Elephas maximus indicus: one gene and its partners. The protein of the gene in region 2 purifies or fractionates together with the protein of the main gene of each other region. This does not show direct contact. Links are inferred from orthologs where the notes say so. Each region holds a gene or a part of one and is shown on either strand. Other genes may lie near its edges.

The links.
Region 1: the proteins of ZC3H18 (region 2) and NCBP2 purify together in Homo sapiens (co-immunoprecipitation; 3 studies listed by BioGRID and IntAct, with this or other methods). This does not show direct contact. The link is inferred for Elephas maximus indicus from reciprocal best matches to the Homo sapiens genes ZC3H18 and NCBP2.
Region 3: the proteins of ZC3H18 (region 2) and VIRMA purify together in Homo sapiens (affinity purification with mass spectrometry; 3 studies listed by BioGRID and IntAct, counting the BioPlex papers as one, with this or other methods). This does not show direct contact. The link is inferred for Elephas maximus indicus from reciprocal best matches to the Homo sapiens genes ZC3H18 and VIRMA.
Region 4: the proteins of ZC3H18 (region 2) and FNBP4 purify together in Homo sapiens (affinity purification with mass spectrometry; 3 studies listed by BioGRID and IntAct, counting the BioPlex papers as one, with this or other methods). This does not show direct contact. The link is inferred for Elephas maximus indicus from reciprocal best matches to the Homo sapiens genes ZC3H18 and FNBP4.

What each region holds. Positions count from the first base shown.
Region 1 is NC_064819.1:18,463,230-18,470,971, forward strand, and holds the start of NCBP2 (nuclear cap-binding protein subunit 2), read right to left. Parts: upstream 3,019-7,742; 5' UTR 2,935-3,018; coding exon 2,857-2,934; intron 1-2,856. Other genes in the region: protein NCBP2AS2, read left to right, coding at 3,117-3,405, 3,563-3,609. UniProt on the Homo sapiens protein: Component of the cap-binding complex (CBC), which binds co-transcriptionally to the 5' cap of pre-mRNAs and is involved in various processes such as pre-mRNA splicing, translation regulation, nonsense-mediated mRNA decay, RNA-mediated gene silencing (RNAi) by microRNAs (miRNAs) and mRNA export.
Region 2 is NC_064839.1:53,895,017-53,902,712, reverse strand, and holds the start of ZC3H18 (zinc finger CCCH domain-containing protein 18), read right to left. Parts: upstream 3,014-7,696; 5' UTR 2,814-3,013; intron 1,900-2,813; 5' UTR 1,836-1,899; intron 1,829-1,835; exon of another isoform or gene 1,648-1,828; intron 1-1,647.
Region 3 is NC_064833.1:47,454,010-47,461,193, reverse strand, and holds the start of VIRMA (protein virilizer homolog), read right to left. Parts: upstream 3,016-7,184; 5' UTR 2,791-3,015; coding exon 2,728-2,790; intron 1-2,727. UniProt on the Homo sapiens protein: Associated component of the WMM complex, a complex that mediates N6-methyladenosine (m6A) methylation of RNAs, a modification that plays a role in the efficiency of mRNA splicing and RNA processing.
Region 4 is NC_064825.1:103,132,772-103,140,643, forward strand, and holds the start of FNBP4 (formin-binding protein 4), read right to left. Parts: upstream 3,004-7,872; 5' UTR 2,871-3,003; coding exon 2,648-2,870; intron 1,060-2,647; coding exon 961-1,059; intron 1-960.

The DNA of each region.
Region 1 (7,742 bases), on a different chromosome or scaffold from region 2:
AAATGGGTTTCCAAAGATTAGGGTTTCCTTGAAATGCTCCCATAGAGACCATTCAAAAACAACAATTGCTTAGATGGTTTACATGCTTATATGGTTTTCTCTGAGTTAGGAGAGCATGTAGTGATCACTAAAAACAAAAGCCATCTCACATTCTTGATGGACTTCCTAATTTGGAAGATAGGATAAAGCCAGAGACAGAAGTGTAACTGGGTTTCCACAGAAACACCTGACAACCCCTGGGAACAAGATGGCTCATCGTGGGCTAGATGTGGTAACTTAGAGGACTTCACAGAAACCAGTGTGGCCGTCTGTGGGCGTTCTCTTCCAGCTTCCACACTGGGGAGGACAGATGCTTGATTAATAGAAGGCCTACCAGCTGACCTGCTCTCAGGCCCTCCTGACCCAGGTAAGGCTCTAACATGAAGCATATACTGAGTTTGGATTTAAGATGACCCTTCTTACACCTAACAGTGGCATTCCAGCTTGGAAAGCGGTAGCTGAGTAAACTCATACTGAGCCCCACAGCACTTTCCCAGGAGCCCTGCATGTGTCATGGTGGTCCAGTTTCCCTCACTCTGAGAATACGACCTTGCATTATTCGTCTCTGAGTGTTTTGCAGCACAGTGTGCAAAGTAAAAGGTCTCGTGTGATCACAAGCAGTGGCAGATTAGAGAAACAGTGAAACCATCCAAAGGAAACTGATTAAATTAATTACAGCACACTGATATAAAACCATGCTGTGCCAATAAACCTGTACATCTCCATGCAGGGACAGGGAACACCTCCCAGATGGAATGCAGGACGGTGTGAAGCGTATGCTCCAAATTGTATTTTTTAAAAGCATGAACTGATAACTGTTTCTACCTGTGGGGAGAATCAAGGGACTGCAAGTCAGACTTAATGTATGCCATCTCACCTAATCCTTAAAACAACTGTATGAGGTAGGTCCTAACTTATTATCCTCACTTTACACGTGAGGAAAAAGTCAGTAACCTGTCCCAGTCCCAGAGCTACTCAGCAGTTATAACTGCAATTCAAGCCTAGTCTAGTCCTCAATCCCACACTGCTTTAGAAAATCCACAAGGGAACAGGCGTTCTTTGTTAACGATAGGTTCTCAAAGCTCTGGAATGAGACATCAGGGAATGTAGATTAACTTTTTATTACTGCTGTTACTGATTTGTTAAAATTATGGTCAGGAGGCAGTTTCACTTTTCTCATACACGTAAGAGATGTCCAAACAGCCAGCCTGTGGCTTAAGACAACTGTGGTCTAAGTGCTTGCTTAAGGTATGATATGAATGTGGATTCCTTTCAGGGAACACTAGCAATTCTGCATGACAGTACTGAACTTTAAGCTTTAAATTGCAGAGATGAATAATAGCAAAAGTCTAATCCTTTCAGTCTGCACCTTGCAGGATGGTCTAAATTCAAGATGGTTATGATGTGGAACTTTCTAAGGTAACAAGAACTGTAAAAGTGGAAGAAGTGAAATCATGCCTCGCACATAAAACCAAAAACCAAACCCACTGCTGTCAAGTCGATTCCGACTCACAGCGACCCTAGAGGACAGAGTAGAACTGCCCCATAGAGTTTCCAAGCAGTGCCTGGCGGATTTGAACTGCGGATTTGAACTACGGCTGCTAACCTCTTGGTTAGCAGCTGTAGCACTCAACCACTACACCACCAGGGTTTCCCCTCGCACACAGTAAGAATTTAAAAACTGTTGGCTGAGTGAATGAATTTAAGATCCTCGTCGGTTTAGCCTCAAACAAAAGTTCCTTTTCCCTGCCCTACGAACACATTGTACACATTCTCCATGCTGCTCTCTCATCCCTTTCTGCCCCTTTCTTCCCAGTCACAAATTGTTATCCCTCTTCTGAATCCTCACAACCCCTGCGTTTGTGCTCACCATTTCTGCTCTGAATTACGATGACTTGCTTCCATTTACAATCCCTACTAGAGGCTCATTAAAGTTTAGAGTGCAGAAACTGACTTCCCCTCTCTCTCTATGGCTTAGCAGGTTTCCTAACAGCACCCAATAAACCCAATGAAAACCTAAATAACTGGATTAATGAAACCGTCTCCTAATTATTCCCGGCACCCCATACCTGCCATTCCTAATACCGAAAAGCCCACAATGAGAATGCAGCTAAATTCTGCAGCCTTCTTCTCTTTCACAAATCTCCTGACATAGCCTAAACTAAAAATTTCCTCTTTTAAAATTCAGCAGTTCTCTGATCTTGACACCCAGACATCCTCTAAGTGCCCAGCTTGGCTGGTCCACCTCCCCATCCCTAGGGTTCGGGCAGGGCTCAACTCCCATCCAAAGCGCAGAACATGGTAGAACCTTCCTACAGGCAAAGAAAAGGGGTCAAAGCGCCAAAGGCTATTGTTTCTCTCATCGCATTTTGAAAAGCAAGCCCTGGTAGCCGGGTAAGGAAGGCGCGCCTCCACATACTCCGGAGGCAAACGGACAGCCCTGCCCCTCATCTCAAAACCACCTCCCCGAGGCACAGGCCCTGAAAATGAGAACCACCCCTGCCGGCTGCTGCTACTACCACTACTACTACTACTACTGCCGCCGTCACCACTACTACTGCCTGAACACTCCTGCACTGGCCCGGGTACACGGAGGGCTGCAAGGGAATGAGAAAGCGAGCCCCAAACTCCCTTTTTAGACAGGAACTGGCTTCAGTGAAATACAAACACCCGCCCAGTACCCATTCCCTGCTTCCCCGGGCAGCACTGCGGCCTCACTTCGCTTCTCGCGACACGAGCAGGATGAGAGACGACACAATGAGATTAGAGCAAACCGTTTCTCAGCGTTCGGCCCTTGGGCGGCCCGGTCTCCCTCACCCGGAAGTGCTGATCCCGGTACTGGCTCAGCTCTACGTAGGAGTCACTGCGCAGCGCCTTCAGGAGGCCACCGGACATAGCGCAAAGAGGTGGACGGCGACGCCGCAACTCCGAGAACAATGAAACGGCGGCGGCGACACCGGCGGCGGAACCGGAAACGCGCGGAGGCGGCCGCCGGAAGCAGAGAGAGCGGGAATGCTTGGGCCCAATCCGAGCGCGGCAGTGTCGTCATCAGACGGCGCGGGCGCAGACCCGGTCCGATGTGGGGCGCCGCCGACCGGAAGGCTAGAGCCACGTGCCCCGGGTTCCGGGGAGCTGCGGAGAGGATGGTGTTTCGGCGGCTGCTTGCAGCTCTGCTGCACAGCTCGCAGCTGGTGGAGCGTCTCTCGGAGTCGTGGCCCATCCGGCGTGCGGCACAGCTCACGGCCTTCGCGCTGTTGCAGGCCCAGCTGCGCGGTAAGGAGGCGGCCCGGCGCGCTGCCCGCTTCAGAGACGCCTTCAAACAAGAACTGCGCCGCGGCCTCCGGGACCGCCCGGGGTCACCACCAGGTAGCCGGAAGGGCCCGGGCGCAGACCCTTAAGACCGGGCTGGGCTGGGCCGAGGTCGTCCGCCCTCGGTCTGGGCTGTACATCGGTCTCGGCGCTGCGGGGTCATTGCGGGCACTGAGCGCGGCTCCGAGTCCTGACTCCGATTCTCGGCCTACAGAGGTCATACGCATTAGAGAACCCAGACCAAACCGACAATCTCTCTGAAGCTATGCAATCGAGTGATCGTTCAGGCACAGTCTGGAGAAAGACTCTGGAGCCCGACAGAGATAAAGACCCGTGGACAGAACCACAGCCGGAAAGGGAGCTTGTCCTCTGCAATCGGGACCAGAACTCTTGATGGATGCTGTTGTCTCTGCCCTGATAGAACACTACTTGCGGGGAAGATCATCGATGAAAAGACAGCCCTGCAGGTGCCAAATTCTCTGATTAAATGTGTGAGCTGATTAATGAGTCTGAGTGTGGTGCTTCTCAGGTAAGATGGATTAGGAATCCTGGGGGTATAGGCTCATAGTAATAATAGCTAACATACCGAGTGCTTTCTCTGTTTTGGCACTTGCTAATTGCACACTGGGTGAGATACCTCCTTTACTACCTACGATCACTTTCTTAAAAGGAAGTGATTACTTAAGTTGCCCAAGGCCTTACAGAGGGGGGACGTAAACACTGGCAATTGACCCCAGGGCCTCTGTCCTTAATTACCACGTACGCAGCATTTACCCTGACCTCGTATGTTCCCACCCACCCACCACTACCAGACATTGGGATAATGGCCCACCGGGGAACAAACTACCTGTGTTCCTAGTTCCCATTTTAGAGTATCTGGGATACAGACTAAGAAAGATTATGGTCCAGCTAATGAACCCGTGATTAGGAAATCTGTTCTGTACAGAAATGCCCTGTCATCTGAGGTACCTGGTTGATTTTGATTGTAATGAGCCTACACAGTTAATCATGCAATCTAGAAAGCTTGAAGCCACAGGAAAGGCTTTTAAGCTGGTGACAGACAATTTATACCCTGGCTTTTCTGACGGGCAGGGAGAGTGAGCTGCAAAGGTCCTAGACACCTACCCTGGGGGGTTCAAACTCATGCTTGCAGGGGTGAAGCAATGAATGTTTAGGGGACTCTGAGAAGCTGGAAAGCCCCTGACCCATCTGGAGGGGTAGCAGCTACTCTGTCAGCTAGTTTTGCGCTGTGGGACTGTGGCCTGGTGGTGCTGGACCTCCTATTTGTTTCCTAGGAGAAATCTGGCTCCTTTATTACTTCAGGCCTAACAAAATGGCTATGGGCTACCATTTTCCTACCTCAGCTCTGGCCCTGTTCTTCTTTGAAAAACGGTGTTACACAGTATGGGGGCATAAAGGCTTCCTAGCCATGTTTTTTTTTTTTTTAACTTTTATTGAGCTTCAGGTGAACGTTTACAAATCAGGTCAAACTGTCACATATAAGTTTATATACACCTTACTCTGTACTCCCACTTGCTCTCCCCCTACTGAGTCAGCCCTTCCAGTTTCTCATGACAATTTTGCCAGCTTCCAACTCTCTCTATCCTCCCATTCTCCCTCCAGACAGGAGATGCCAACACAGTCTCAAGTGTCCACCTGATACAAATAGCTCACTCTTCATCAGCATCTCTCTCCTACCCACTGTCCAGACCCTTCCATGTCTGATGAGTTGTTTTCGGGAATGGTTCCTGTCCTGGGCCAACAGAAGGTTTGGGGACCATGACCGCCGGGATTCCTCTAGTCTCAGTCAGACCATTAAGTATGGTCTTTTTATGAGGATTTGGGGTCTGCATCCCACTGATCTCCTGCTCCCTCAGGGGTCCTCTGCTGTGCTCCCTGTCAGGGCAGTCATCGATTGTGGCCGGGCACCAACTAGTTCTTCTGGTCTCAGGATGATGTAGGTCTCTGGTTCATGTCCTAGCCATGTTTTATATTAGTATTGTTTTTGTGCAGGCAGCCCTGTTTACTTTTCATTTTTATAGTTCTTCTGCATCAGTGTCAGTCTGGAAACTTTTCCTAAGAAAAGGACCCTTCTGGCCACCTTTCTTATCTCCATTAGTAAGGGATGAGGCATGGACTGCTACCTCTGAAACCGACAATGGAACCTTCTCCCACAGATCCCCTCCCAAACCTGCATCAGGCCAGCTCTGCAAGTGGACCCAGTGCGATTGCTTTCCAAGGTACAAAAAGATACCCCTGAAATAATGCTGCCTGTACCTACTGGGCTAGTTGTCTGTCCTTTTTTTCTCTGAGCACTACCTGGCCTGCCCATGGGGTGTATTTTCTACAGCCTTGTTTTTGTTCCCTGGCCATAGGAGATGGTTCAGGGTGGACCAATAGGATGCAAATGCCTAGAAATTTGGCCCCAAGACAGAATTGCTGGGAACCATGTTAGTGGCTATGACCCAAAGAGAAAGTCTCAAAAAGTCTGCTGCCAAGGGACCCTCGTTCTGCCCTTTTCAAGTATCAAACAACTCCAGATTCTGGGAGATAAACAGTATCCTTACACTAAAAGCTTTTCTCCCCCAGGTTAGTTCTATTACTTATAATCCAAAGAGCGTTAACTAAACTGGGAAACATTTCACTGTGAAGGTAAGAAATAGATTGAAAGTATACCTGAAAAAGAGTAGAAATAAACCACTGAAAGTGGGACTGTCAGTGAAAGCAGAGGGATAGCTATTAAGAGCGCTGGCTATTTGAAAGGTAAGGGTGATGGAGGAACTTAACACTCAAGTGTGGAGGGGAGATTGCCAAAATTAGCCCTATTTCCTTTGACCTGAGAAGGTCAAAGGAGGTATTCAAGGTCCTGCCCCATCCATGTTTAAAAGGAACATACTTTCAGGCTATAAATACAGTTATTTCTCCTGAGAATGGAGAAACTAGCTTGTTCTAATGGTCAGTTATTCTTGTGAGTTGGCATGAGGTGGCATCTCACCCTCCAGTCTCCCATTAGAGATGCTGCAGTTAAATACTCTCCAAGGCCAGAGGTTCCCCACTGCTAATGACCAAAGTCCTGGTCTGGCATCCCATCCTTCTGTCTGAGGGGCTGTCAGATCCCCCCTCTCCAGGGCATGTGGGGTTCTCCTTGGAGTCTGAGGACCTCTTTGGTCTCTGGATGAGTATTAGCAGTCTCCAGCCCAGCCCCACCCCCAGCATAAACAAGCACACTCACTGTTGAGTCTTTTAGTGGTGGGACCAGTGCGGGAAGCAGTGCAGGAAGCAGTGAAGCTTCCAGACGAATTGGCCACTTGGAAGGGAAGGAAGCAAGAGAAGGAGGCAGTTCCTTATTTTCCCTGGAGGAAGTGTACAAGGACTATGTTTTCTCTGTTTTTGTAGAAGGGATCTGAGAGCACACAGAAAATATGGTCTTTCTTTCTGCTCCAGCCCAAGGTGATTTGGGCCATCCCTCCCCGCAGTGGCCTGCCATTGTAGCAGTTCCTCTATGACTGAAGAAACAGACTTCTCTCCGCCACCTCCAGTGGTGGCAGTCTCCCAGCATGCTTTTTCAAGCTCTTCCAAGCCCTGCCAGGTGAAGGAGGGAAGCAGCTCGGCCCATCATACTACAGAGAGAGGATAGCAACACTTTACAGATACATTTATTTATTAGAGCTCAGGGACCACCATGATTCCTGCTACATCGATTCCTGTAGGGAATTTTGAGGTTGTGGACCCAACTGGGGCAGGGGAACCAAGAGTCCAAGACACCCAGAGGAGAGTTTGGGGTCCCAGAGTCTGGAGTGTCTCCAAGGTGGCAGTTGGCTTTTATCTGTTGTGCAGAAAGCCGTCTTTGGCTGCAAAGTAAACCAGTGCCCGGCACATGCCATATAGGATGTTAAGCACTAGGGGTATGAAGATGAATCAGAGGTTCGTGGCGTCATAGAACAATGTAGCGTTATGAACGGTACCATAGAGTTCACAGGAGGGGACCATCCTGTGGCGTGCTAGAGCAGCTCACACTGGCTCATGACAACAGATCGATGGCATCTTGTCCCAAGCCAAGTTCAGTGACATCATGTTGGCAGCTTGAACTTGGTCACGGTGGGAGGTTTACACCACGGACATTGGCCAATGATACAAATCGGATTTTTTTTTTTTTTTAACCCAGAGAGTGGGCTGTTCAGTATTCACCAGTACACCACTGACTTTGGTTTTCCTCAGTGGCACTGGGGTTATAAGAAGGCTGTGGGACCCAAGCAGCAGCCACAGAGCAGGACGCCTGTGCGAGGTGTGGTTTTAGGGTGACCCAGGGCTTTAGCCAGAAGGCAGAACTAGAACAGTGTGCTTGGGTTGGGTTATTTGCATAGATTTGGTTTCCTGCTCCACACTGACCTCCA
Region 2 (7,696 bases):
GTCTTAACTGATATGTTGGGGTGCTAGGAAGAGAAATGCAGAGCCCATTAAGCGTGCCTGATGAAATGGGGTTATCCGAACAAGTCTTAACCGATATGTAGGGGTGCAAGAAAGTGAAATATGCGGCCTATTAGGTGCAGTCAATGAAATGGGGTCCTTTGGACAAGTGTTACCTAACTCCCACAATCACAATTTCTGCTTAGTTTGCTCTTCTGACACAACCACCGTGAATTGTGGGCTCACGGCATGGTTTGGAGCTAAACCTTCTTCTTTTTTTTTTTTTAATCTTTATTGTGCTTTAAGTGAAAGTTTACAAATCAAGTCAGTCTCTCACACAAAAACTTATATACACCTTGCTACATACTCCCAATTGCTCCTCCCAGTGAGAGAGCCCGCTCCCTCCCTCCACTCTCTTTTCATGTCCATTCTGCCAGCTTCTAACCCCCTCCACCCTCTCATCTCCCCTCCAGACAGGTGATGCCAACACAGTCTCAAGTGTTCACCTGATCCAAGAAGCTCACTCCTCATCAGCAAACCTCTCCATCCCATTGTCCAGTCCAATCCCTGTCTGAAGAGTTGGCTTTGGGAATGGTTCCCTGTCCTGGGCCAACAAAAGGTCTGGGGGCCATGACCACCGGGGTCCTTCTAGTCTCAGTCAGATCATTAAGTCTGGTCTTTTTACGAGAATTTGGCGTCTGCATCCCACTGCTCTCCTGCTCCCTCAGGGGTTCCATTGTGTTCCCTGTCAGGACAGTCATTGGTTGTAGCCGGGAACCAGCTAAACCTTCAGACTTTTGATCCACAAGATTGTGAACCTGCCCAGAGAGCAGGTGACATGTGCCACCCTATAGTGTCTCCATTCGGCAGGCAGTGCTGGATGAATGTTTGGTGAATAAATGCATAAATGACAAAATCTCGTTACTTAAGAAAGTACCTGTTGCGCATCAGGGAAAAAAAAATTTAAAGAGTTGCCTAATTTTGAAAAGAATACACCAAAAATCAGTCACAGAAAGGGAGTGGTCTCCTTTCCAAGCAGTCGCCCTGGAAGGCCACACACCGCTTCCTACGGCGCTGCTAAAGCACAGAGCACGCGGGAACTTCTCTTTCAGAGTGATCTTCAGACCTGCAGATCGCTCTCCTGGCTCTCTCTGGTAGCAGCAAATTTTCCTCCTCAAGGTGGGTTAGTTTCAGAAATAGTCAGAAGTCATTCAGAGCCTGGTCTGGAGAATGAGGTGAGTTACCAAGCCAGGTAAGACAAGTTTTGGTCAAACATGTAGTATGACTATTAAATATGACTGATTTTCTCACATGGCTTACATATTCATTACCGTAACAGGAGTGCTAAAGACGTACTGGCAAAGAAACATCAATGAAACAGAAACATAACCTTTTGGGACAACTGTTTTTAACAACGCAGTGTCTACCTGGATACTTAAGTTCTGGTTTGTCTAGATAAAATTCAGGTTCATAACTTTACAGACTTGTAACACCAAAACGAAAGACTGACTCCTCTATAGTTGACAATGATAGCATCACCCAAATTTACTAAATTTGACCACCAGAAGAAAAAATAAGGAAACACCTTGATATCATTTGTAGCTGTGATAAGTCAAAACCCCTTCCAACACGAGCACAGCCAGAACTTACCTGTATGCTCTCTGGAATGACTCCACAAAGCTTTCTTCAGCTGTCTGAGCATTTCCCCTAACACTGGAAAGTAGTTTCAGCTTTTGGGACCTGGTTGGACTCTACTCAAACGCTCAGACTGTAATGTAATCAGGCAGAGACTCCCCTCCCAGGGCGTGAAGTTGGAATCTCCCTCAGTCCAGGCTCACCTGGGAATCCCGACCACTGCCTCAGGAAGGGACCATTCCACAGGCAGTATGACAGAGGTGAGTCCTAAAGGAGGAATGAGGAACCATTGATACACCCCAAACTGAAGTTCAGATGTCATAGTCCCTTCTTCCATTTCCCTCAAGTGGAGCTGAGGACTGGTTTAGTCTTGCAAATGAGTTTGTTAAAAAAAAGTTCACTTAACATAATCAACCATTCTGCCCAGCAAACTCAGCTGTCACAAAGTAACCAGGAAAACTTAAGGTTTTCGCAGGAGCAAGACTAGTTAAGTCTTAAAGTCTTAGGTTCTTCCAGCATCATAGTTGCAGTTAGTTTATTCTAGGGGCCCAGAATCCTTTGGGGTCCTAAATCAAAGAGACAAGTACATTACTATTTCTAAGACGCTGGAGAGCATCTCGGGCACAGCAAATACGTCCAACCTGTGCACACTTTCGAGGCGAGGGAGCAAGTTCCAGGTGGCTCCAAAGAGCTCAAAGATCCCCCAAAGAGCCATCAACACTTGGGGCCGGCCTAGTCCGGAGGACAAATCCGCATGCCTCTCACCCTCCCTTTGTGGACGGCAAACATGTGCCACGCGAATGCCCGGATGAGAACTGACAGCTTCAGGAAAATAAACTCCACCCGGGGCGCGAGGGCAGCTCGCGAGGAGTCCAGACTCTGAGGGGTTCCAGGGCTCCCGCGGGCCGGGACTCGCCGCGGACGGAACGCGGAATCGTGCCTGTCTCAGTATCCCCCTTCCCGGGGGCCCAGAAGCCACGCTTCGGTCAGCTGCCCCCACGGCCGGAGCGCGCAGCCTGGGGCGCTCCACGGAAGCGACGGCGGCGAAGGGTTCCCTGGCCTCGGCTCCCGCCACCGCCGCCACGCTCCTGCCTGCCGCCGCCGCCGCCGAGGCGACCTCCTCCTCCCCCCGCCGGCGCCGCCAGCCCGGCCTCCTAGCCGCCCGCTCGGGCCTCGCTCACCTCAGCGCGAGCGCCGAGAGCGGGCCACTGCTCCGCTGGAGTTGGGACGGCGCGGAGTAGACGTCCCTCTGCCCTTCCGCTCCTCAGACGCTCCGGCTTCAAGCGCGACGCGGGCGGAACAAACGGGCTCCACTACCCGCGGGGGCCGGCCATTGTACGACGTCATCAGGCCGCGACGGTCGTCCTGGGGCAGGCGGGCTTCCCTCGCTTGTTCTTCCCTGCTCCCTCTTCCTTCCGGCCTCCGCGCGGCCCCGCCCCCCGGCCCGCGCCCACCCGATCACCGTCGCGGCGCAGGCGCCGTCAAGACGCCCCGCCCCCCGGGGCGGGGCCCTGAGCCCGCGCTCTTGACGGGGCCGCCTGAGAACGCCTGCGTATAGGGTTTAACGCTCCCGCGAGCGCTGTCATGTGACGCGCCCTGTCAGGTGACGAGTGCGCCGCGGCTTTCCAGGAGGAAGCAGGCGATCCCCGGTTCGCCGCCTCGCAGTTTTGCTGGCTGACGCCTTCGGAAGAAAACATCTTATTCTAAATATCAAAGCGGAAACACGTTAATCTATCTTCCTCGGATGAAATATTTTCTCGCCTTATCAAATGTAACCAGCTTTAACATTTCACCTTTTGCCGGTCAGAAGACGTTGAATGGAGACTCAGGGCATTTTTTACTGATGACGAACTTTTCACAGACTCTCAGGGTTGACCATCATCACTGCCATCTGCAGAACAGCCAGGCGGGCAAGATGTCCATTTCAAAGATGAGTAACCTGAGGCTTGGAGCAGCCCCGCCCGCCCAGAAGCTAATTGAGAACTGAGCAGACAGTGACTGCGCACCGGTCACCATCCTGCATCCAGTTACCGTCCTGCAGGCGCCGCCGCGATGCCCCAGCCCAGGGAGGGAGCGCCAGGCAGGCAGCGCAGCTTCGGGGGCGTGTATGTCGGAGTTGCAGTTCCCCCATGTACTGCAGTGTGGCCTTGAGACAGTCACTCAGCGTATCTAGCCTCCGTTTTCTTATCGGTAAATTGGGGATATTAAGAATGTGGTTGTGGATGAGTGCGGATAAGGGGAAGGCAGGATGAATGAGCCCCCCAGTCCCAACTCACACCTTCTTCAAAAGTGGTGCCTTCTCAGAAAGATTAGTCCAAAGGACTAAGGGACTGCAACTACCATGGCCTCCACCAGACGGAGTCCGGTACAACTAGATGGTGCTGGGCTACCACCGCTGACTGCTCTGACAGGGACCACAACAGAGGGTCCTTGACAGAGATGGAGAAAAATGTAGAACAAAATTCTAACTCACAAAAAAGACCAGACTTACTGGCTTGACAGAGACTGGAGAAACCTGAGTGTGTGGCCCCCTGACACCGTTTTAGCTCAGTAATGAAGCTGCTCCTGAGGTTCACTCTTAAGGCGAAGATTAGACAGACCCCTAAGATAAAACAAGACTAAAGGGGCATACTAGCCCAGGGGCAAGGACTAGAAGGCCAGAGGAGACAGGAAAGCTGGTAATAGGGAACCCAAGGTTGAGAGGGGAGAGTGTTGATGTGTGGTGGGGCTGTTAACCAGTATCATAAAACAATGTGTACGAAGTGTTTAATGAGAAACTAGTTTGTCCTGTAAACTTTCATTTAAAGTACAATTTTTAAAAAATGGTGCCTTCTTAACTATTATTTGAGGTCTTCTGTTGACTCAATGCAGGTGTTTAAAAAAAAAAAAAAAAGGCAAAATGGAAGCAGGAGAGTGAGACCTGAGAGGAGGCTGGCAGAAAAGGGAGGGGGCAGAGGTAGTGCTTCTTTAAAGAGCTCTTTCCCTGGCTCCTCCTGAGCAAACCCGTGGCTCCACCTGGGAAACCCTTAATTAGTAGTGCTCAAACATGGCAGTGAAGTCTTTTAAAAAATGAACATTTCAGTTGCCTCTTGAAGGATGAAGAGGGTGACTGGTTGGAGTAGGAAGGGGGAGCATTCCAGACAGAGGGAATGGCTTTGGCAGGGCTCAACAAGGGTCTTCAGAAGAGTTGGAGTTGAATGGGGAGGGTGATCAGGGAGAGAGACTGGACAAAGTTGGAAATCTGCTCTGCTTGCTCTGGGAGCGACAATCTGGGGTAACCACGGCCCTGTGCTTAGAAGGGGCTATGCTTGGTTTAGTGCCTGCTGCCACCATCTTAACATTCTTAGTTTGTGAACAAGGTGCCCTCCATTTCAGTTTTACACCAGATCCTGTAAACTATGTAACCGGTCCTGGGGTTGACTAAGGGTTTTGAGGTGTGGAGCAGAGCAGGCCTCTCCTCACCCCATCTTCCTCCTCCAGTGGAAGGACTCTTCATTGGGGTTCTTGTGAGCCCACCGCCATTCGTTCCACACATGTATATGTCTGGCCATAGTGACGTTAAGTGTACTCATAGATGTTTGCCTCATGTTCCCTGAATGAATGTGTGAGGGAATAAATGAAGACATTAAATACAGAGTTACAGTATGACAACGCAGCAATTCCACTCCTGGGTATCTACCTGCGAGAATTGAAAACACACGTCCATGCAAAGACTTGTACGTGAATGTTCGTAGCAGCACCATTCACAGTAGCCATAAAGTGGAAACAACCTGGGCGTCCATCAGTAGATGGATGGATACACACAACGTGGTATATCCACACGATAGGATATTATTCGGCTGTAAAAAGGAATGATGCCTTGATGTATGCTATGACATGGATGAGGGCATTTTGAGGGGGAGGAGGAATGATGGGATCTAGAAAGCAGGCTTTTAAATATTTAGTAAAAATTTACTTGAACTTAAAAATATTTGGAGGATGGGTGTGGGAGGGGTGGTGTGGGAGACAGCAGAATCTTCCTTTTCCGGGGGAAAAGGTCGATACACGTTTTCAAAACTCAGAATGTCAAGAAATAACCGTATGAATATTTTATTAGAAATGAGGAAAAGGCCAGAGGACAGAACTCAAAGAGTTGAAACAGTTGCCCCTTGGGAATGAGAAATGGGGGTGAAAAGGGACGTTTAAAAGATTTTATTTTTATAGTGTTTTAAGTGAGTGTTTACAAATCAAGTCAGACTCTCATACAAAAACTTATGTACACTTTGCTGTATACTCGTAATTGATCTCCCCCTAATGAGACAGCATGAAAAGGGACTTTTTAAAAAAATCAGCCCCATTGAGGTATACTCCACTTTTGGTAAAACACACATCGATGAGTTTTTTGCAAAGGTCTATACCTGTGCAGTCACCACTGCAATCGAGAGAGGACATTTCCTCTACATAGAAAGTCCACTGGTACCCCTTGCTGTCATTCCCCAACCCTGTATTCTGCCATGACAGTTTTGAGTTGTCTTTCCCAGTGTCACATGAATGCATGTAGTGTGTATCTGGCTTCTGCCACTCAGCACGATGTTTTTGAGATTCATCCACGATGTGTGTACCAGTAGTTGGACAAACTGTTGTGTTTTGTTGTTGCTGTTTTAAGCCTTAGATTTTTAGACAATATATTTTAAAAAGGAAGAAAAAGAAATTGATGGCAGCTACCATTCCTGAGAGCCTGCTGAGAGTTAGGCACTTTCAGTCACCAACCACCTCCTTTAGGATCCAGGCTCTTAGTCACGGAGGCCAGGATTTGACTCTTGGCTCCAACGCTGACTAAAAATAAATGTGTAACTTTGATTAACTGTAGTTGTTTCCTCGGGCTGCTGTTACAAAGAACTATAAAGTGGGGGGCATAAAACAACAGAAAATCTTCTCTCATAGTTCTAAAGGTTAGAAGTCAGAATTTAGGGTGTGGGCAGGGCCTCGCTCCCTCTGGAGGCTCTAGGGGAGGATCCTTCCTGTCTCTTCCAGCTCCTGGTGGCCCCAGGCATTCCTTGGCTTGTGGCCCCGTCACTTCAATCTCTGTTCTGTCCTCACATGGTGTTCTTCCCTATGTGTCTCTCTTCCTTCTGTGTCTCTTTTCCTCTTTTTATAAGGACACCACTTATATTGGATTATGGGCGAACCCTACTCTAGTATGACCTATTATTACCTTAACCAGTTCCATCTGCAAAGACCCCATTTCCAAATCAGTGCTGCCCCGATTCCTGTCATGCTGGTGCTCCCCAATGTTTTGGCGTTTGCATGTATTTGCCCAGTTTTTATAGTTGTCTTTAGCAGAATGGTGTGGGGTTGGTTTGATACAAAAGACTCAGTTTGAAAGCTACGTTTTAGGAAGACATTTATGATGGACGAAATGACCAGGAGAGAGCCCAGTGGTCCTCACCGGTCTGCATGCCACGGGATGACAAGGACTGCTTTTGCTCTTTTCTCACAGGCCACCAGAGGGCGCGCCAGCCCCGCCCACGGCAGTTCTCAGGCAGGCCGGCGGGGCCGCTATGCACAGAGGGCGGCAGGGCAGGGGCACGTGGAGTGAGCTACATTGTCCCAGCGTCCGGGGGCTTTGTCAGCTTCTCCTTCTCGGTTATTACACAGATGACTCCGGAAGGCCTGGGTGGGCGTCAGGGACCTGGACACTCAAATGTGTCAGTCCCTGCTGCTTGTTCAGAATTAACCAAGAGGGACATCAGGCATGACCACAGGCCAACCTATGTTGTCATGTACACACGTGCATGCATACATATGCAGTCAGGTGCACGCATGCACATGCACACATGTACACACATTAAGGCATGCACACCTGTGTGGACATGCACACGCACAAACACATGCTTTCATTCACCGGAAGCTCGCTTTACAATGATATTGAAAAATTAATGGTGCACACGTTTTTTTCCAGTTTTTTTGCTGCACTTGGAATACTCCCTTCTTCAGAACAGCGCTGGGTGCCCCTTGAGGAAGGCCCGCTCATCTGTGTGGCTCTGCTTTGGCCGCGGACAGACCATGAAGACCCGGGTGTCAG
Region 3 (7,184 bases), on a different chromosome or scaffold from region 2:
ACTCCACGGCACCTAACAACAAAGGTGGTGCAAATGGTTTGCACTGGACTACTAACTTAAAGGTTTGCAGCTCAAATCTACCCAGCAGTAACTGAAAAGAAAGGCCTGGAGATCTCCTTCCGTAAAGATTAAGAAAACCCTAAGGGGCAATTTTCTGTAACCCATGAGTCGGAACTGACTAAAAGAATGGGTTCTGGTTTTTTTTTTTTTAAATCCCTAATACTTATCTATAAACTCCTTGAGCATAGAGATTCTGTTTTATCTCAATGTCCCCTACAGCACTCAGCAAAGTGCCTCACACATATAGAATTCATTAACCATCTCTGTTTTAAGACATACTAATTATTTTTAACTGTGAAACTTGATAGCTCTCACACATTTCTTGACCACCAAAGCTGACTTCCAGATAGACTACTCTTAATTTTTCACTCTCCAACACTGTTTTCTAAACACCCTATCCTTAGATCACAATTACTATCCAATTCCTAAATATATCTTACACAGTACCTCTGCACACACCTCTGCACACACCTAGTCTGCTGTTGAGAACATCTCTCCCCCATTCCTTCTCTACACACAAGCCCATACTCCACCAAGACTCTGTTCAAATTTGATCTATACTATGCCCAGTCACCCCCACAAGGAGATATTTACTCCCTTCCCTATGCTCTCACTGTCCTCACTTGCTAAGAATAAATGAAGGAATAAGAGATTCTTGTTGTTAGGTGACATTGAGTTGATCTCAACTCATAAGGACCCCGTGTGACGAAGGAGAACTGCCTCATAGGGTTTTCTTGACTGTGATCTTTACTGAAGCAGATAACCATGTCCTTCTCCTGCAGAGCCACTGGGTGGGTTCAAATTGCCAACCAATATGTGATAAATGACTGAACGCCAACTTTTCTTAAACCAGACTACTACTAAATTGACTTACCATGTGATTTTTCTTTCATTTTTAACTGTTCTCCATCTCTGTACACAATAGGTTTGTTCTGATCCAACCACTGACTCCACTGTAAGTTTTCGAAAGCCTAGCTAGAACTACAGTCAGAAAAGATGTCACTGAACAGAGCTAACTGACCTACAAGAAATGTGAGGTTATCAGTAAGATGTTAATCCATGGTTCACAAAATTTTGACTTTCACAGACTTGTAAACCATTTGTTAAAAAAATCACATCACGGTTGTCAACGTTTCATTCTGACAAGCAAAGCATTAAAATACACCTTCTATCACCATTATTTCATAAGTGAAAACCAAAACCAAACACCAAACCCAGTTCCCTCGAGTCGATTCCAACTCATAGCGACCCTATAGGACAGAGTAGAACTGCCCCATAGAGTTTCCATGCAGCGCCTCGTGGATTCGAACTGCTGACCCTCTGGTTAGCAACTGTAGCACTTAACCACTACGCTGCCAGGGTTTCCTCAAAAATGAAAGAACAATCTAAAAGACTTATTCAAATATTTATTGAGCACCTACATTTTGGTCTAAAAGGTCACTATCAGTCGGAATCGACTCGGTGGCAGCTGGTTAATGGGTCACCTACATTTTACAGGATACTGTTCTAGGCACTGGAGATACAGCTGTGAAGAAGAGAGACACTACTTATCCAAATGGAGCTTGATATGCACACACACTCCTCTGATAATAAAAACAGAAGAATCTCCGAATAAAGAACAGTTCTCTAAATTGATTAAATCCAGATTAAGGGAAGAAATGTGAGGGTTTTTTTTTTTTAATTTCACTGGGGACTTCGTTAATATTAGTTTGTGGCCTGCTTCTGGGAACATTTAGTTAACTAAATCGAAAAAGCTCGATGCCATCCAGTCGTTTCCAACTCACAGCGACCCCACAGGACAGGGCAGAATTGCCCCCTGCGGTTTCCAAGGCGCGCCTGGTGGATTCAAGCGCCAACCTTTTGGTTAGCAGCCGAGCTCTTAACCACTATGCCACCAGGGCTCCAAAAGTGACATTCCATTTACATATTGCAGAGCCAGTCAAACGTTCAGGGGTGCTCGAAATTGTCTGGTACAGAACAGCTGCTGCACAACACCGACTCTCCAAAACGTCAATACGTTTGTGCTTTCGGACGGAAGTTTGGCTACACTTCTCTCAATTCTCCCCTCTTTGCAAGTATTCTCCACACAAGGGACGTTCCGTATAAGCATTTCGTGTACAAATGTGTGAAATCTTTCCAAGAGGTAAATACTGAAGTTTCAGGATAAACTGGAAAACGCCGCAATCCTAATTCTCACAACTGAGCTTCAGAACTCCCGTTAGAAAAGTGACCTGAAGAAGATTCAGAGAAGTCTTAACCAAGAACTACCAAACCAGCGTGAGGTGCTCGGACTCCTGCGTTACTGTCAAACACAAGCTGCCCAAGACCTCTCCCAAACACCTGAGGTAAATCTGCAAACCATGATCCTTCTGAAGGCCCAAAACTGACAGGAATGAGAAAAAAAAAAAGAGGAATGCGAGCAGAGTAGCCAACTCGACTAAAGACACGGAGGCCTAAGTTAGACCAGGGAAATGAGAGGGCTGCTGTAGCCCTTTCTCAGACATGGTGCCCACACCCATGTTGGGGGAGGGGGGGTGTACGTGAGGAATTAACGCGACAATCGGCGGGAAGAAAAATGAAGGCATGTCTAATGGCCTTTTTTTTTTTCTTTTTTGGTATGGATGCCCAAGTGGAGAAGCAGGTCGGAATGAAGTCACAAGGCCTTACCTCAGCGCTCGGGTGCTTAAAAGTATCTAAAAATAGCAGCTCCATCGCCGAGTCCACCGCCATGTTTGCAGCGGGCGGGGGCAGGGGGAAGACTTCCGGGGCAGTGTGCTACAACCTCGGCGACAGCGGCTCAGGAGAGGGAGAAACGACAACGGCTCAGGAGACGGAGAAACGACAGCACTTCCGCCGCCCTGCGCGCTTGCGCTGCAAACCTCGGCCTACCGTAAGGCGCCCAGCTGCCCGAAATCGTCGCCCCGCCTACTCCAGCGCGGCGGACGGAGCCCTCTGAGATGCAAGAGGAGAGGGGAGGAGAGGAGCTGACTACGGAGGCTCCAGTGGTCCAAACCTTTCTCTACCGCGCGCGTTACAGAGCCACGACGGCCTCCGGGTGGCGGAGTGCCGAGTAGGTTTTGCACGTGGTGCAGGTCGGGTGGGGAAAGGTGCCAACTCTTGATACCCCGCCCTACCTTGCATACCCTCCAACAAGCAGCCCCTACACGACGTGGAGGAAAAGATGCAGTGAGAGAGGATGAAAAGAAAAAGACATTGAAAAAAAGAAAAGAAACGTCTCAGAAAACGAAAAGGTCCTTTGATTTCTCATCTGTAAACTAAGAATAAGAATACCTAACCCACAAACTTGTGAGGATTGAGATAAAATTCAAGACATTTTATAACGTGAAATGCCAGGAACAATAAAAAGGGCTCAGAGTGGAGAGTAAGTCTCCCTGCCAAGTGTTGAGCATGTGGAGCAACTGGAACCATACCCAGCTACTTGGTGGTGTGAATTGGCACAACGGTTTGGGAGAGTAATTTGGAAACATCTAGTAAAAGTAAACAAGTGACTGCCCAACTCCTGGGAAAATTCTTGCAGATGTGCCTAAAAAAAATACCTACCGATAGAATGTTCAAGGCAACAATTTTTAGTTGCAAAAAAGCTGGAAACTTAATTTCCATTAACGGAAGAAGTGAAAAGTAAACTGTGGTTGATACAATGTAATAGCGTATAGCACTGGGAGAGCATGAACTAGTGCTGTTACCTACTAACAGGGATAATCTCAGCAACGGAGTTATACGACCACAGGTTAAAAAATAAGTAGTGTAAAATAACCTCTACATAGTTCAAAAATGTGCGAAATAGCACTTTTTAAGGGCCTGCATATGTTATAAAATGATAAAGAAATGCTTTGGAAATATGAACACTAAGAGTTCAAACTCATGGTGAGCTGGAGGGAGATGTAATGGAGAAGCACACAGGGGCTTCAAACATTTTGATGATGTTTTATTTCTTAGGTTGATGGTGGTTTCATAGGTGTGCTTTATATTGTTCTTTGCACCTTTTGATATGCCTGAAATATTTAACAATATATTATTTTTTAAGTAAATATCCCATCCACCACCTTCTACAACTATGCAGTTTCCTTCCCAAAAGCAAGCTCTATTAACTAACAGTTTATCTCCTTTACTATTTGTTTTTTTCAAAGAACCAGCTCTTGCATTCACATGTATTATTTCTAGGACTTTCTTTTTTTCTAATTCTTCAGTTTCTGCATTTGGCTTTACTGATTCCTTCCTTCTGCTTTTTTTAGACTTATGTGTTTTAATTTTTCTAATTTTTGTAATCAATGCTTTATTTATGTTCATAATGCCTTATTTATTACAATATGTATTTGTGTTTATCAATTTTCACATAAGCTTTCTTTTAACAGAATGTCATAGTTTTTACCATGTAGTGCACTTGTACTTTTTTTTTTTTTTTTCCCATCACTCAAGTGTCTCATACTGTGGTGGCTTGTATGGTGCTGTGGTGCTGGAAGCTATGCCACCAGTGTTTCAAATACCAGAAGGGTCATCCATGGTTGACAGTTTTTGGCTCAGCTTCCACACTAACACAGACTAGGGAGAAGGAGCTGACTATCTACTTCTAAAAGAACTGGCCGGTGAAAACCTTCTGAATAGCAGGGGATATAGTGCCAGAAGATGAGTACCTCACTTTGGAAGGCACTCAAAAGATAACTGGGGAAGAGCTGCCCCCTCAAAGTAGAGTCGGCCTTAATGATGTAAATGGGGTCAAGCTTTTGGGACCTTCATTTGCTGATGAAGCACGACTTAAAATGAGAAGAAACAGCTGCAAACATCCATTAATAATAGGAATGTGGAATGTACAAAGTATGAATCTAGGAAAATTTGAAGTCATCAAGAATGAAATGAAATACATAAAAATCGATATCCTAGGCATTAATGAGCTGAAATGCAATGATATTGGCCATTCTGAATTGGCCAATCATATGGTCTATTATGCTGGAAATGGCAAATTGAAGAGGAAGGACATAACATTCATCATTAAAAAGAACACCTCAAGCTCTGTCCTGAAGTACAATGTTATAAGCGGTAGGTGTAATATCCATACACCTACAAGGAAGAGCAGTTAATACAACTACTATTTAAATTTACACACCAACCACTCATACCAAAGATGAAGAAATTGAAGATTTTTGCCAGCTTCTGCAGTCTGAAATTGATTAAACATGTAATCAAGATGCATTGATAATTACTGGTGATAGGAATGCAAAAGTTGGAAATGAAGAAGAAGGGTCAGTAGTCAGAAAATATGGCCTTGGTGATAAGCACAATAGTGGCAGTCACATGATAGAATTTTGCAAAAATGACGACTTATTGATTGCAAATACCTTTTTTCAACAACAAATACTGCATGACTATACACATGGACCTTGCTGAATGGAATACACAGGAATCAAATCAACCTCATCTGTGGAAAGAGACAATGGAGGAGCTCAATATCATCAGCCAGAACAAGGCCAGGGACTGACTGTGGAAAAGACCATCAATTGCTCATATGCAAATTCAAGTTGAAGATGAAGGAAATTAAAACAAGCCCATGAGAGCCAAAATAAGACCTTGAGTATATCCCACCTGAATTTAAAGACCGTATCAAGGACATCATCATACATGAAAAAAGCAAAAGGTTATTAAAAAGACAGGAAAGAGAAAAGACCAAAATAGATGTCACAAGAGACCCTGAAACTTGCTATTGAACACAGAATAGCTAAAGCAAATGGAAGAAATGATGAAGTAAAAGAGCTGAACAGAAGATTTCAAAGAGTAGCAAAAGGAGACAAAATAAATTATTACAATAAAATGTGCAAAGACCTGGAGTTAGAAAAACAAAAGGGAATTTCTCAAGCTGAAAGAATTGGAGAAAAAAGTCAAGCCTTGATTTGCAATATTGAAGGATTCTGTGGACATAATATTGAACAACACAGGAAGCATCAAAACAAGATGGGAGGAATACAGAGAGTCACTGTACCAAAAAATTGGTTAACATTATTCACCCATATCATGAAGTAGCATATGATCAAGAACCAATGATACTGAAGGAAGAAGTCCAAGCTACACTGAAGGCATTGGCTCCAGGAAAAACAAAGCTCCAGGAATTGATGGAGTAATAAATGACATGTTTCATCAAACAGATGGAGCACTAAAGGTGCTCACTCGTCTATGCCAAGAAACTTGCAAGACAGCTACCTGGCCAACAGACTGGAAGACATCCATATTTGTGCACATTCCAAAGAAAGGTGATTCAACAGGATGTGGACATTATCAAACAACATCATTAATATCACATGCAAGTAAAATTTTGGTGAAAATTATTCAAAAGCAGTTGCAGCAATACATAAACAGGGAACTGCTAGAATGTCACAACTTCAAGCCGGATTCAGAAGAGGACGTGGAATGAGGGATGTCATTGCTGATGTCAGATGAGTCTTGGCTGAAAGCAGAGAATACCAAAAAGATCTTTACCTGTGTTTTATTGAGTATGCAAAAATATTCAACTGTGTGGATCATGATATTGCGAAGAATAGGAATTCCAGAACACTTGATTGTGCTCATGCAGAACCTGTACGTAAACCAAGAGGCAGTCATTCAGACAGAATAAGGAGATACTTCTGGGTTTAAAATCAGTAAAGGTGTGCATCAGGGTTGTATTCTTTCACTATACTTATTCAGTGTGTATGCTGACCACATAATTCAAAAAGCTGGACTATATGAAGAAGAATGACATCAAGCTTGGAGGAAGACCTATCAACAACCTGTGATATTCAGATAACACCACTTTGCTTACTGAAAGTGAAGAGGACTTGAAGCACTCACTGATGAAAATCAAAGACTACAGCCTTTAGCATGGATTATACCTCAACATAAAGAAAACAAAAATCCTCCCAACTTGACCAATAGGAAACATCAAGATAAATGGAGAAAAGATTGACGTTGTCAAGGATTTCATTTTACTTGGATCCACAATCAATGTCTGTGGAAGCAGCAGTTAAGAAATCAAAGGATATATTGTATTTGGCAACTCTGCTGAAAAAGACCTCTTTTAAGTGTTAAAAAGCAAAGATGTCACTTTGAAGACTGAGGTGTACCTCACCATGTCATGG
Region 4 (7,872 bases), on a different chromosome or scaffold from region 2:
AATGTTGGGGGACAGAAGAAAAATTTATTATTTTAGGTGTCAAATAGCACAAAAAGCATTCCAAATACAAAAGAATAAAATTATTACAATTACAGAATATTTAGTATCAAAGCATACTTTAATCTTTCACGATATATAAAGAAAACTAACATTTTTTGGCACTTATTATGTGTCAGAAAACGTTATAAACCATAAAACCAAACCTGTTACCAACAAGCCGATTCTGACTCATAGTGGACCCTATAGGACAGAGTAGAACTGCCCCATAGGGTTTCCAAATAGCAGCTGGTAGATGTGAACTGCCAACCTTTTGATTAGCAGCCATACCACTTAACCACTACACCACCAGGACTCCAGAAAATGTTACACACATTGTCAATTTAACCCTCAAAATAACTCAGAGCTATTAGATCTGTTTTACAGGTGAATGAGGTTCAGTGTGATTAGCAACTATCTGAAGATCTTAAGAGTGAATGCTAGGCTCATGATTTGAACCCAGGTTTGCCTACAAAGCCACCATTGCAAATCTCTCTCAATGCTTAAAAAATATTTTATAAGAATGATTTTCAGGTCCACAAGCATTTGCTAGGTACCAATCAGGCTAGCATGTTAAAAAAAGGAACGTAAGGACAGGTAAGAGATATGATCAGTGATCTTAAGAAATACCAAGCTAGTGGGAGGGCAAGAAACGAATTACAAAATAGTATCAGAAGAAAAAGTAGTACAAAATACTTTGCGTACAGTGAAAAAGCAACAACAAAATTTCCACTGGTCCAAGTGTATATACCAAATCCTCACAAACAAAAGATTTTGAATTTCCATTTTACGGGAGAAACGTTATCAACACCAAACCTTTCAACAAAACAATCTTTATGTAAAACCAATTTGATTCTAATGAAAGGTATTCTAGAAAAGATGTAGGAAAAAACAAAACAAAAACCACAAACCAAAAAGCTATACCTGTTGCTTTAACAGCTGTGGGTCTGGTAGTCATGACTGATTTTGGAGGATTCTCAACAACTCTGGGAACCTCCACCACCACTTCCTGTTCATCTGGATCTAAAAATGAGCAAAGAAAACTGCAGTCAGACTATGGATAAGAAAAAACACTACAAGTGACACAAGAATCTCTGATTTGACGTTTTCAAAGCCTAGATTTCATCAATTTAAAAACAGGGTGGATAATCCCTCACTGACCCAAATAATTGGGAGATGATAAACAAGCACAGCTATAATCTTCCCTTTGCCTAGTGACTTTAACATTAAGAGAAAAACTTAAATGTTGTACTTAAAGATTAAATTTTTAATAACTCTTTATAATTTTTTAAGGTGATTTCATTGGAAAACCAATGTAACTCTATAATTCTACTTCTGGATATACAACCTACGTAAACTCTGAGACAAATATACAGGCAGACACGGTGTTAACTGCATCACTGCCCCAAACAGGAAAGAAGCCTGAAACGTAAACATCCATCAATAGTGGAATGCAGAAACGGTGGTACATTCATACCACGGGATACTATAAAAAAATACAACAGTTAAATTCAACACAGAACTCATGTATTAACACATAAATCACAAACATTACAGAAGAATGTGCATAGTTTGATACCATTTATGTAAAAACAACTACAAACTAACAGCGTACATAGAGTGAAAATATAAAAATACACAAAGCAAGCATACTCACCAGCTTCGGAATACTCTTGAGAGGGAGGGAGGAAGGGAAACAAATGGAATGTGGGGTAGTGGGGGACTCTTGGTAAAGTTTTATTTTATAAAAAAAAAAAAAAGAAGTAAAAATAGCAAAAGACTACCATCTGTTTAATCTGTTGTGGATATGTATATCTATTATAACGTTTTTACTTCTGAAATACTCGAAAGTCAAAAAAACCCCTCACATTCACACAAAATTTCTCTTCTCCAGGCTACCACAAGGTCTTGACAACAAGCACTGCTATTATAGTATTTTCCCTCCTGAAAAAACTCCCTCGTCATTTTTTAAACACCTGAAATTATGGCGACTTGTTTCGCGTTCAGCGCCTGTGGTAACGCTGGCCCGTCACCCTTAATCTAATTACCAGTCCAAGGCGAGCCACCCAAGTCCACGGGAACCCCCAAGTTTCACTTCTTCAGCCATGTGTGTGGCATGCCTGCCAATTTGGAGGCAGTTACGTTTCGGCGGGCATAATAAACAGGGTTTGCTCACTTCTAAAGAGTCTCTCTCAGTTTCAACAAAAACGGAGGGAAAAACACATGACGTATAGAAAAGGCCACAGCGTCAGCGGTCACCACGTCTCGGACGCGGAAACTCATACATTCACCCACCCTGTAAGTTATCCCAAGCCGACACTGGACGATGAGGACTCAGGGCGCCCGGGCCGCCGTCGGATTCAAACGTTCCTGGGGAACCCCTGCACCAGAGCTGGCCCTCGGGGTCGGCCCGGACGGAGCCCGCACGGCCCGCCTGAGCCTTCCACCGCCCAGCCCGCAGCCCCACGCAGGCCTGGATGCGGACCCCGCCCGCCCGGGTTTCTCTTCCTCCCAGCGTCAGGCCAGGCGCCTCCTGAGGCCTAGGCCTCAAGCCCCGGGCTCGAGTTTCGGACCGCCCGACTCCAGGCCAGGGCCTCGTATGCACGCTTACCTTCTGAAGGCGAGTCTTCCGAGGCCGCGGCAGCCGTCACAGCAGTCGTCGTGGCCGGCGCCACCACCGTCGGGGCTGGCTGACTGGTGGCCGCCGCCGTCGAGTCCAGCTCGGTGTCGGCCTCCGGTTCCGGGTCCCGCCCGGGGGTGCTGCTCCGGGGACCAGGCGGGGAGAGCTGCAGGATGGGCCTGCGACCGGGTACCGCCCGGGACTTCTTCCCCATCGCGAGCCCGAGCGCGAACAGCCAGCGTCTGGCGGCCGAGAGGGGCGGGCGCTCAGCGTTGCAATGCGTAATCAATATTCATACACCGCAACACCGCCTCCCAGGAGGACCCGCTTTTAACCGGCGGAGTGCGCGCCCGCGCAAGCGCCTTGGACCCTTTACGTTCTTCTGACTCCTCCTCCCATAGGAGGAAGGGCGGGCTTTACCCTGGGAGCTACTTGATTGGCTGTTTCGACCCAGAGAATGCGCCAATAACCAATGAAAAAGGAAAATAAGAGTTAGTCGAGCCAATAGTGAGGAAGAGTCTGGGTTTAACATACCTTCCCCGCTTACGTCGGGTTCCACCCATGCGTTTTTTGCAGTTTATTCTTTGCCCCGGTCCTCCATTTTGTGGATGTTTTCGGCTGTTTGATGTGTTGTAATTTGGGCCCTGGAAAGCTGTGCTACTTTCCCAGCCCTTCCCCCAAGTTTCGCCCTCGTTATTGTGGCTTACTTTGGGTATTACTGTCGACTATTAAATAGGATATTGGGTCTTTTACACCTTTGTAAATTCTTAGATCACAAAGAATGAGTTGTTGGGATGTGATGCAAGAGCTTTCAGAATCTGATTCTACTGGAGCCCTCGACCTACTTTTCTAGATTGATCTTTTCCTTTCCCAGGTACCTACGCTCTAGCCGTTTGAGCATCACGTCTCTCCAATCCTTCGCACTAGCTACAGGAACTGCTGCACCACGTGGCGAAATTCTTTGATTTCCTTAAGTCCCAGTGCAGCCGTGTACCTCTCTGAACCTTTTCTCTCACAGCCTTGCCCCTTCCCAGCACTTCACATTCTACCCTTGGTGCTTGTCTTCCCCTCTAAACTGAGTTTAAGAAATCCAGTGATAGTTATTTTTATATCCCCAATAGCTACCTTAGTTCTGAGTGCACAGTAATAATATCCAATATTTTTTGAGCACTTGCTCAATGCTAGGCAGTAAGGGCTTTCTATGTAGAACTGCATTTGATTCGTGAGGTAGATAACCATTATCCCCATTTTACAAATGCACAAATGGGTTGTTAAATACAAAGTCATTTTGAGACAAGTGGCTTGTTTTGCTCCCTGTAGTTGCAATGCCTACAACACTTTCTGGAACATAGGAAACAGTAAGTGTTTTTAAGTGAATATAAAGGAGCCTTGCTGGTGCAGTGCTTAAGGGCTCAGCTGCTAACCAAAAGGTCGACAGTTCGAATCCACCACGCACTCCTTGGAAACTCTACAGGCATGGGAGGGTGGGGGGAGGCAGTTCTACTCTGTCCTGTAGGGTCAATATGAGTCGGAATCGACTGGACGCAATGGGTTTGGTTTGCCTACAACAGTTTCTGGAACATAGGAAACAGTAAATGTTTTTGAATGAATATAGTATGTATTAATATTTAACAGACTTGAAATAAGTAGCAAACCTATCTACAGGAGATACACCTGGAATTAGGGTATCCTCAGTGGACTCCCAAGATTACCAAAAATGTAATCCCGAGAAGCAGGGGGAGGGAGGTTTGCATTAGCAGTTTTCTGATTTTTTTGGAAGAGGCATTGGAATGATAGTTGTGCGTGAGTTCTAAAGCCAAACAGATCTGGATTCAAGCTGTACTCCAGCACCCTTCAGATTTGTAATGGCCAAGGCAAGTTTCTTTCTTAAATTCCTAAACTTGTTTCTGGGCCCTGGTGGCACAGTGGAGAAAGTGCTCAGCTGCAGTTCCAACCACCAGCCACTCCGCTGGAGAAAGATGTCGCAGTCTGCTTCCAAACAGCCTTGGAAACCCCATGGGGCAGTTCTACCGCGTCCTGTAAGTCAGAATTGACTCCATCGGGTCAGTAGAAAACTTACTTCTGTGAAATGTCTTAGTAACAGTATCCATAGCATTGTTGTGAAATTTAAATTAGATCATAGCTTTAAGCTCTTTGGGTAGAGTCTGGAAAAAATAAACACTAATTATGTAGTAATGAGTATAAAGCTTGAAGTGCTCACTAGTCTATGCTAAGAAATTTGGAAGACAGCTACCTGGCCAACTGACGGGAAGAGATTGTTATTTATGCCTATTTCACTGAAGGTGATCCAACTGAATGTAGAAATTATTGAACAATATCACACGCAAGTAAAATTTTTATGAAGATCATTCAAAAGTGGTTGTAGCAGTATATTGACAGGGAACTGCCAGAAATTCAAGCCGGATTCAGAAGAGGACATGGAAGGAGGGCTATCGCTGTTGATGTTGGATGGATGCTGGCTGAAAGCAGAGAATACCAGAAAGATGCTTACCTGTGTTTTATTGACCATGCAAAGGCATTTGACTGTGTGCATCATAACAAACTATGGAGAACATTCCTAAGAGTGGGAATTGCAGAACATGTAATTGTGCTCATGAGGAATCTATACACAGACCAAGAGGCAGTCATTTGAAAAGAACAAGGGGTTACTGCATGCTTTAAAGTCAGGAAACGTGTGTCAGGGTTGTATCCTTTCACCATACTTGCTCAGTCTGTATGCTGAGCAAATAATCCAAGAAGCTGGACTGTCTGAAAAAGAACAGGGCATCAGGATTGGAGGAAGACTCATTAACAACCTGCGTTATGCAGATGACACAACCTTGCTTAATGAAAGTGAAGAGGACTTGAAGCACTTACTGATGAAGATCAAAGACTATAGCCTTCAGTATGGATTACACCTCAACATAAAGAAAGCAAAAATCCTCACAACTAGACCAATAAGCAGTATCATGATAAACAGAGAAAACACTGAAGTAGTCAAGGATTTCATTTTACTTGTATCCACAATCAACACCCATGGAAGCAGCAGTTAAGAAATCAGACTACGCATTGCATTGGGCAGATCTGCTGCAAAAGACCTCTTTAAAGTGTTGAAAAGCAAAGATGTCACCTTGAGGAGGAAGGTGCACCTGACCCATACCATGGTGTTTTCAATTGCCTCATATGCATGTGAAAGCTGAACAATGAATAAGGAAGACCAAAGAAGAATTGACGCCTTTGGATTATGGTGTTGGCAAAGAATATTGAATATACCACGGACTGTCGAAAGAGCAAACAAATCTGTCTTGAAAGAAATACTGCCAGAATGTTCCTTAGAAGCAAGGATGTTGAAACATTGTCTCACTTACTTTTGACGTGTTATTAGGAGTGATCAGTCCCTGGAGAAGGACTTTGTGCATAGTAAAGTAGAGGGTCAGTAAAAAACAGGAAGACCCTCAACCGAGATGGACTGACATAGTGGCTACAATGGGCTCAAGCGTAACAATTCTGAGGATGGCACAGAACCTCACAGTGTTTCGTTCTGTTCTACATACGGTTGCTATGAGTCAGAACCGACTCGACGGCACCTAACAACAACATGTAGTAATAATTATTATATTAATAATATTGTTTTGTTTAAACAAAATATTTCTTTTGTTTAAATAAAATTCCAGCGCCTATTATGAAACTGGTTGGATCCAAGTTGACACTATGTGCTAAAGCACAAAGCACTGAAATGGGAAAGGCTGTTTTCTTTGGAGAAAACTTACATTTTAGGTGACCGTTTAGCTTATAACAATGGTTCTCAACCCTGGTTGTTCATAGAACCATCTGGAGATTATGAATGCAATGTAAGAATCTGAATCAATTGGACTGGGGAGTAGGGGTGATGGTGTTAGATGCTGAGGGGTCCAACTCATATTGACCCAACGTATAACAGAATGAAACTGCCTGATTCTGTGCCATCCTCATAACTGTTGCTATGTTTGAGCCCATTGTTACAGCCACGGTGTCAACTCATCTCATTGAGGGTCTTCCTTTTTTTTTGGTGACCCCTGCTTTACCAACCACAATGTTTTTCTCCAGGAGCTGGTCCCTCTTCATAACACATCCAAAGTAAGCAAGATGAAGTCTTACTATTCTCGCTTCTCAGGAGCATTTTGGCTGTACTTCTTCCAAGACAGATTTGTTCATTCTTTTGGTAGTCCATGGTATATTCAATATTCTTCGCCAACACCGCAATTAAAAAGGTGTCAATTCTTCTTTTGTCTCTCTTATTCATCATCCAGCATATAAGGCAACTGAAAATACCATAGCTTGGGTCAGGCGCACCTTAGTCATAAAAGTGACATCTTTGCTTTTTTAGAACTTTAAAGATGTCTTTTGCAGCAGATTTGCTCAATTCATCGTCTGACTTCTTGACTGCTGCTTCCATGAGCATTGATACTGTGGATCCAAGAAGGATGAAATGCTTGACGACTTCAATTTCTTCACCATTTATCATGATGTTGCTTATTGGTCCAGTTGTGAAGATTTTTGTTTTATGTTGAGGTGCAATCCATACTCAAGGCTGTAGTCTTTGATCTTCATCAGTAGGTGCTTCAAGTCATCTTACTATGGACAAAGGTGTGCCTGACCCAAGCCATGGTGTTTTCAATTGCCTCATAATGCATGCAAAAGCTGGATGATGAATAAGGGAGACAGAAAAGAATGGACCCTTTGAATTATGGTGTTGAATATTGAATATACCATGGACTGCCAAAAGAACGAACAAATCTGTCTTGGAAGTAGAACCAGAATGCTCTTTAGAAGCAAGGATGGCAAGACTGAACCTCACATACTTTGGACATGTTATTAGGAGGGATCAGTCCCCGATGGACATCATATTTGGTAGAGGGTCAGTGAAAAGAGGAAGACCCTCAACAAGATGCACTGACACAGTGGCTGCAACAACAGGCTTAAGCATGGCAATAGCTGTGAGAATGGCGCAGGACCAGGCACTGTTTCATTTCTGTTGTACACACGGTTATTATGAGACAGAACTGACTTGACAGCATCTGCCAACAACAACATGGGCAAAAAACTGACACAAAGCATCAAAAGAATGATGGAAGGAATACACAGTGTACAAAAAAAAAAAAAAAAAAACCAGTTGATGTTCAAACATTTCAGGAGGTAGCATATGATCAAGATCTGATGGTACTAAAGGAAGAGGT